2 linked regions of the Bombyx mori genome follow. The protein of the gene in region 2 interacts with the protein of the main gene of each other region in a pairwise test. Links are inferred from orthologs where the notes say so. Each region holds a gene or a part of one and is shown on either strand. Other genes may lie near its edges.

Region 1 (4,596 bases), on a different chromosome or scaffold from region 2:
TAAAAATGATTTATGTTGGGAGGTTGTATTCAATTGAAATGCTCAGTCAGCCAAGGTGTTTCAGCATAACATGTTTCAGATGAAATAAAATAGCGAAACCTCTGGCATATCATCATAGCAATTCAGTTTAGTTTAAACGGCCGTCTGGTGTAGTGGTAAGTGACATGGTCACTACATACGGGGGTCGCGGGTTCGAATCCCGCCAAAGGATGATATTTGTATGATAAATATAAATGTCTTTTCCAGGGTTATGGATGTATATTAACTATGTATGTGTATAATAAAAATCTTATATTTATTTCCGTTATCTGGTACCTGTAACACAAGTTCTTTACGAACTTATCACGGGGCCAGTCAACGTGGCGTGATTGTTAAAAAAAATATATATATATTATATACATCATGATTCTTATCGTGTTCCATCTGAGTTTGATTACAGGTGCCAATTCCAAATCCATTTTAAAAAACATTTACAACCTATCATAGATAATAAAAAACTAAAAAACATTCATTCAGTATTTTCGTGAGTGGAATGTAAACCCAACATCTTATCGTGTTCCATCTGAGTTTGATTACAGGTGTCAATTCCAAATCCATTTAAAAAAAATATTTACAACCTATGGTAGAGAATAAAAAGCAAAAAACATTTTCATTCAGTATTTTCGTGATTGGAATGTACACCCAACATGATTCCTATTGTGTTCCATCCGAGTTTGATTACATGTGTCAATTCTAAATCCATTTTAAAAAACATTAACAGCCTAGGGTAGAGAATAAAACAAAAAACGTTTTCATTCAGTATTTTTGTGAGTGGTCACCATCAGCACAATGAATATGAGAAATATCAGGGGTACCTTTGGTTATGCTGGAACCATGTCACATAAGCACATTACCCTTGGTTTTTGTTGTAACAAAATAAAATATGATAGGTATTAATGAGCAACAAATTTTTAATTTACAACAACCAGCTTTTACTATCACCAAAATAGCTATAGAATGATTGAAAAGCGTTTTGACTTAATAGAAGTAGACAACAGGATTTGTTTATGTCAATTTTATAGTTTCAAATTTGTAACATAATCAAAAGGATAATGGATGGTACCATCCAGTGTTTGTTTGGTGTTTCTAGTTGTTGACGTCTAGACATAATGCAAACACCAGCTTAAACCTTGAAACATAGTTTTATATAGCATTCTTCAAATCAGAATGCAAAGCTATAAAAATATGTTTGACTTTAGTCCTATCTGTATTGCCTTACAAAATACTAGAGTAGGGATTTGAAAGGGGTCGATATCAACCACTTACACACTCAGTTAACTAGTTTTTAAATTGATAAGTATTTTGTATCAATGAGAAAAAAACTGAATATAGGTATTTTAAAGTAATTTGGCCATGGGAGTCTGGGTATCAATTAATTTTGGAACAACAGTCTCTTGCCCAAAATAGCTTGATTGGAATTCCTCTTATAGTGAAATATTACTAAGCAATAATCCTTTATAATGTATTACAATGAACTCAAAAGTTTATTTATTATAATTTTTTTAGAAAGCCTTTATTAGGATTAGGATATTTAGAGAAATATCATTTCAGTATGTAAAAGCCTTCTACAGTTTTATTCATATAAACTTTGACTGTATATTATTATACAATTAGAAACAGAAATAAGATGAAAATACTTTAAAACTTTTCATGAGACAATTAATATACACTGACCTTTTTCCGGAGTTCAGGTTTACCCTTTTTGACTGTGGCCACAATCATGTCCCCGGAACCGGCCGCCGGCAGTCTGTTCAGGCGACCTTTGATACCTTGGACAGCGATCACATACAGATTCTTTGCCCCTGAAATAATTAAGAGACATTAGTATGAAACCACTTTATGCGTGGCTTTTTGGCATCTTCTTCTTCATAATGTTTGCAGAATTTGTATTAAACGAAAAAGTGTCACAAACTGAAGGTAGTTTTTAAAAAAAAAATAGTTGTAGGTACTTCATATTATTCAGATTTACTAGGAGTAACCAGAGAAAAGAGCACGAAAAGGTAGATTAAAAATTTTACACTATCACTTCTCAAATATTTATGATAATTTTCAATAATTTTTCTACTTATATCAGCGGTCGGGGAACCGGGGTAAATTACCCCAAATGGGGTAAAATGAAATTTTGGGGGGTAAAAATGAAACTTTTGTGAATAAAAAGTATATATTGAAGTGAAACTTCTTTAGAATCGTTAAATTTTTAGTTATTGTTTTCTTTTCAAAATTATCATGGGGCTTTAATATGAAATATACTAAAAAGAAGCGATTTCGTTTTTTTTTGTTCTTCGCCATGGGGTAATATCAACTTACACAAAAATATTTAGGGGTAATAATCAAAAAAGTTCCCCGACCGCTGACGTATTATTGTTGTAAATTCTCAAGACAATCAATACTTGATCATTTAAACTATGCATTTAATTATTATCGGTCGAGCATCTTCAGACACAGCCAAGGAAGATTATCATTATGAATCAAAACACAAATTTGTGTCCGATAGGTATCATCATTAGATGCACAACCCAGAGCATCGTGTGGTTTTAGGTTATGTGAGGTTCGTCACAATAACATTAGTTAAAAGTACCTGTGTTGTCGGCGCAGTTGATTACTGCTCCCACTGGGAGACCCAGGGAGATACGGAATTTCGCTCCCGCGGAACCACCACGTCCTTTAAACAGAAAAACATAACACTATACATTTTCACCAAAACACCAACTAATCAATAAGATAGAATCACTTCGAAATAAAGGTTCCGAGCAATGGTTTTCGTATGGTTATGGATTCGTACATATTGTGTACTATAATATCACATGGATTGAATCGATTTACTCGGATAATTTAGAATTTCACGAACCTCTCTTAGACATTTTGTTGTATCAAAATTTTGAAAGAAATAATAGGGACGTGAAGCTAGTAACTTTTGTTGTCGTACTCGTTCAAAAATCAAAATGTCAGTGAAGGTCTTGAAGTTAGTAACTTACTGTAGGCGATCTTATCAATCTATAAAGCAAAATGGTCACATTAATTTCTATTAAAATTTGTTCTATTTGAATAAATTTTCTGAAACACATAACTGAAATTTTTTTGTTTGTGCGATGTAATTTTAATCAAATAATCTTTTAAAACCTTTTTTTATTCCTACTTGATTTCTAAACGAAATTAAGTTCTTTGTGCATGTTGTGCCTTAACAATTATCAATTGTATAAATAAAATATACGGAGTGAAGCTGCGTAGCGAAGTTTTCTCTGAAATTAAATTACAGCGATGTTAGGTACGGTACCACTTTATGGTTGCTCTTTGACTTGATTAATATTATTGATCGAAGTCTTCGACGGATACTTTTTCAGACACAGAGATTAAGCTCTTTACTTTTGTTCTCTACACTATAACTGCGGACTTTAACTTTCACTTTTTATTTGTACTTGTTGGAATTTTTAATTTAAAATACAATAGAATTTCCAAGACTATTTTTAGATTAAAAATTATAAATCAAGAAAAATAACATTAAAATATAATCAACAATTAATCTGCGTAAAACAAATCGTAACAAAAAAATGATTGTCATTAACAAGTGTTGCTAGGTATTTTGGTTTATTACTTTACTTTTTATTAATGTACGTTGCATATTTGTAAATTTTCACTTTGTGAAATCATACTATCAATTCTATTAAACATAATATGTATTATGTTCGAAAGAGCTATGTATATGAAAATTAATCATACCTAAAGTTTTAATGTCTGTCATGTAAAAGTCTAATTTTGATTTTGTTTGGCTCCTTAATTATAACAAATAATTGCCTAGAGTAGCCACAGATAGCTTTGACTTTATGCTAGTATAGCGTTTGTTTATCTAGTGATTTGTGATTTTCTTGACGTGAAAATTTCGAAAACTCAGTCTTTTCCATCACTTCCATTTTGGTTTTCAATTTATGCAACACTGCCTAATGTAGTACCTACATGTCAAAATCATAGCCGCTTGTCATTCTGCAAAAACTGGCAAAAAGAATAACTGAAACACCTACATAAATTCATAAGCTGAAACAATATTTAACTTCGTATTAAAAATAATATAACAATGGCTTTTATGGGGGACACGATGAACCCCACGCCGTTGTGGCAAAACGGACCGTCGCCTGGAGCATTTTATAATTTTCCTGGAAATGCTTCCACAATTGCTCCATCCAGGCACGGTGTACAGGATTTTACAGCTCAGTAAGTATTAATCATTGTTCATAACTTATCAGAATAAACAGCAGTTGCTGTAGCTGTAGATGTTAACAATTTTTTTTATAGAGACCGCTTTGTATGACCATCCACATTACTAAAAAACCTAAAAATATAAAAACAAACTAAAGCCACTTGATATTTACAGACTAGTGTAAGTTCACTTCGAGACAAATAGAAAATGTAATTACTTTTTGTAGTGACACGCCGAAATATTTCGAATCTTTAAATAAAATTTTGAATTTCGGAAAATCATTTGATCCCCTACCTAATTTATAAAATATTTTTTATTATAAGTTGATGCATTAATGCCTATCAAAATAAATAAAAAATTCTAAA
Region 2 (4,320 bases):
TTTTTAAAAGTAGCAAAAAAACTAAACATTTCTACTTTAAAAGTCCCAATTATAATTTTCTCCATTTCTCCAGAAGTTCTGGAGACAATAAGATATTCACACAAATAAAACATAAGTATTTTATACATATATATCTGTATACAGCCAGTTAAGCTAGTGGGTTGCCCAGTGTAGGTAGTTAGGCATTAGAATAAATCATACTATATACAACTTACTTATATCATGGGACATGAGGATAGTCTTAATTGTAATGGCTTTCAAAACTAAAAAACATGGGACACTTCATAGTTACAGTCACTTGAGTGAATCAAAAGTTTTGGGAATTAAATATCTTACCTTATCTTATACCTTTAAACGAGCAATTCTTGTATATATATAATCTGAATCTCGGAAACGGCTACAACGATTTTCATAAAATTTAGTATACAGGGGATTTCGGGGGCGATAAATCGATCTAGCTACGATTTATTTTCAGAAAATGTTTTTTTATTCGTGTTTTCAATAATCAACTTTATGACTATTCCCCACATCTATTGGCAGATAATCAAACTTATTTTTCTTAATTGAGGGCAACTAACCGCTTTAAATACACAACAAGATGGCATTATAAAAAAAAAAAAAGAGCAAAGCTCGGTCATCATCTAGTCTATAGAAAAAAAACAATGAAATTCTGAATACTCCAAAATTTTTACCTTTCATTAATAACTAGGCCAGTATGCTGAGAATCATCAGCCAGAATATATTTAATTAATTCTTTGGTTCTGGGATCTGCATTCTCCTGAGATAGTTTTGTAAGCAATTCTCTGATCTGTGCCACACTGGGTTCATTCTGAAATAGTCAGTGAACTATATTAATTAGATAGAACACTACATATAGAGAAGAATATTTACATATCAAAAGAATAGAAGTACACTACATAAGGAAAGGCTATTTGGTTTAAATGACATTTTTCAACTTTACAGGAGAGCCATTTAGAGATTAAACTTTGGAAAAAAATATATATAAATGTCACATATTAAGCAAATTGTCGCTTAAACCAAATAGCATTTTACCTCTCAATGTTTTTTTTCCCATGTTAGTTTTTTATTCATTGGTATTTTAGTTGAAACATATTGATAGTTTGGGAACTCAACAAAAATTTGTTTAATTGATTTCAAATTAACTTTTATTAAGGAGTAAATATCACTTTTTAAAGTTAGTTGAAATGTTTAATATAAAAACATTGTATTAATCTTACTTTTCTTTTAGTAATATTCACTACTGTAGTTACTCCAAAAACTCCATCACTACCATCGTCCTCATCATCGTCATCCTCTTGACCATCATCCAAACATTGCTTCACAACACTGCCTATGTAATTTTGTGCTGACAAAAAAAAGTAGTGTAAAATTATAAATTGTATGATCCAATTGATTATTCACTATTTTTAAAAACAATTCAAACTTTATAGCCAGTACAATTAAAATTTTACAAGCAATTTTTTTTCTTGGTTAGAATTGAATAGGTACAGAGTTTTCTGGTAATTTGACAAGCTCTGTATTAAGTCACAAAAGTCTTACATATAATAATTTGGGCTAGCCCTCCAAGGTCAACATTTGATTTCAGAAACAGTTGCCTCAGTAGCTGCTTAATACCGTGGAAGTCACTATCTTCTGGGTTACGTCCTTCGAAATCAGCCTGTAGCTCCTGAAAATAGCAAAAGAATATCTCGATGCCTCCAATGAACACTACTCTAACTCAAAATTTTGAAATTTTCGTTTTTCACGCAAATCGCTTCACTATTTTAAAAGTATTACATATTCATTATTAATGGGGTTCGAAGCAAGAGTAAATCAACTAGTTACACAAGAAAAAACCATAAAATCTTTATTATTGCAGATATATTTATCAACTTTTTTCGTTTAAACTCTCCTCTTGTAAACCTACGAATTTGGAGTTATAGTAGTGTTCATTGGAGGCATCGATCTTAATTTAATTTTCAGTAATTTTGAATTTCACAATTTGGTTTGGAAAAAGGGTGGGGAAAAGCATTTGTCACTGGAAACCGCTTTGCTGTTACATGCTGCAGTAAAATACGCCATATGCTTTAATATAGTGATTACATGATTTGAGTTTATTTGTAAGTTTACTGGGCATCTGCAAGAAAGTATTTGTGTACTAATCTCATTTATTTTCATTAAGTTTATTTATCCATTTTACATAATCTAGTTGATTGTATTTAATTACACGATTAATTGAAACAAAGAGCCATGTGTTTTGTAGGTTATGGTTTTGCTTACTTTTTCACCGACATAGTTGCCGTCTGAATCAAAATCAGAATCTTTTTCGCTGCCTGAATCTTGTTCCTTTTCGCTTTCGCTGTTTGTGTCAATTTCCTTGTTCTTTTTATTAGGCATTTTAGCAAAATAAACAAACGAGGAGGTTATTAAAGAAATATTATACAAGTTGAAAATGAAATGAGATTAATGCACTTTTATTCACTTATTTTTAATGAAAGGTTTTGTTAGCTGTATGACAGTAGTAGTTCTATTGATCCAACTGGAAAGGCAAAAGTATTATGCCATACAGCTTATTCTTTTATTATAATATAATATATCTTTTTTATGAAAAATAAGTAGTGAAATTAAATGAAATGGAATGAAATATAATATCAGTAAAACGGTGCCTAGCCATTTACTGAAAATTTTCCAGAGGACTTTTTGGAGGACCCAGAGAAGTTACGTCCAGCGGCTTTGTTCTATTTTCCCAAATTTGTGCACTTTCACAGATAACTAAACAATTCATCATAAACCACTGTTATCACACATTTAAACTTGAAGAAACACTAAATAGGTAGGTATACAGGTCGCTGGGTGACATTAAGTGTATTAAGCTTTGTGATTTAACGAGAGCGGTCGGGCGGCCTAGGAAAGCGATCTGAGATCCATTAATCATTGGATAGATTTTTTGACCAAAAATATCGAAACGCAAACGCAATATAAACTGTTATTTACGTTTTTAGGCGTTGTTTTCATTTAAAATAAACAAAACTACATTTAGTTAAATTAATAAAAGAAAATATTGTTGTTCGAGCAAATTTTATATATATATTAATGAATAACCAAATTATTAAACCACCTTACTAAGTGACGGGGTAAGTTGGCGGGGGTACAGGGAGACCCAGTGAAACGGTATTCGCCGCTGTCCACCGATCAGTAGGGGACCTGAACCCGGGTGTTGAAGGATATAGAAATGCTCAGATGAGAGAAACTAACCTTTTATTAATATTATTTATTAAAGACACTACTGTTTTTACTGTTATACATTTTCGTGAGACCATAGTGTTTTTATGCTACCTACTCTTCTAACCACTGACATTAAAAAAATACTAGTGTTGTGCTACAGCTCACACTTCTTAATAGGGATGTACCCACTAACAGGTGTCACAACTAAACTCCGCCCCGGGAAGCTGTCCCGCCAACCAGTGTGAAATCCTGTCGTGCGGTCGTCGTGTCGGAGTCGCAGACTGGAGTGGATCCCGGCGATCGTACGCAGGGTGGACTGGGGACCCTTCCATGCCCTGCGTCAGCCTTTCACGAACGGGGGGATCGGACGCTTCGGCGAGTGTGCAGGGGAGTCTCTAAGTTAATAGGGCCTTATATACCAATCTTGAGCCCGCAGTCTTGTCTTAATATCTACGGACCGTCCAGTCCCATATACGTCGCGCGCCTCTCGTAGGAGGTTATGCCCCCAATGCAGAAATAAAATAGCACCATTTTTAAGATCATGGAAGGTCAATAGATTCAACTGTGATTCAACTAGGTTTACCTACGTCCTAAACAATTTAAATAATGTTTTAGAAACGTCTTACATAACTGTAAAATTACAAATTATGTCGGACAGGCCAATACTGTTGTTTACTTGTATAAATTTTAATGTATTTAATTGCATGGAAATTGGTCGACTTCTTGGCTCAAGGTGATCCTGGGATTGAATTCGTCATGTTTATGGGATTCAGTATTTTTTATTGGTAACCCAAATTTGATATTGAATTATTTGAAAACACAGAGTAAATACTCATATTGAAATAAAAAAAATATCTATTTTTATTTTGAAAATTATATATTGAAATGTAACTATGAATATTGTGCTTTCGTGCTGAAATTATTTACTGTTTGTAAATATTCAATAAAAGCGTAAAATACGACCACGATGTTTTGATAATCTGAAAGTGGAAACAAAGAGAAAATCAATATAACATCATTGAGAAAGTTGATGGTTCGTTTATTAAAAGCTACGTAAGCTAAATACGTTTTTACATAGGTTATTCATTACGCTCA

What was found.
Region 1: the proteins of protein BCCIP homolog (region 2) and RpL23 interact in binary tests that used the Homo sapiens proteins (3 or more experiments, as listed by UniProt). The link is inferred for Bombyx mori from reciprocal best matches to the Homo sapiens genes BCCIP and RPL23.

The regions. Positions count from the first base shown.
Region 1 is NC_085108.1:4,102,453-4,107,048, reverse strand, and holds the start of RpL23 (ribosomal protein L23), read right to left. Parts: upstream 2,922-4,596; 5' UTR 2,901-2,921; coding exon 2,888-2,900; intron 2,702-2,887; coding exon 2,618-2,701; intron 1,842-2,617; coding exon 1,714-1,841; intron 1-1,713. Other genes in the region: proteasome subunit beta type-4, read left to right, coding at 4,109-4,245.
Region 2 is NC_085132.1:4,572,781-4,577,100, reverse strand, and holds the start of protein BCCIP homolog, read right to left. Parts: upstream 2,859-4,320; 5' UTR 2,398-2,858; coding exon 2,281-2,397; intron 1,688-2,280; coding exon 1,561-1,687; intron 1,367-1,560; coding exon 1,239-1,366; intron 830-1,238; coding exon 693-829; intron 1-692. UniProt on the Homo sapiens protein: During interphase, required for microtubule organizing and anchoring activities. During mitosis, required for the organization and stabilization of the spindle pole.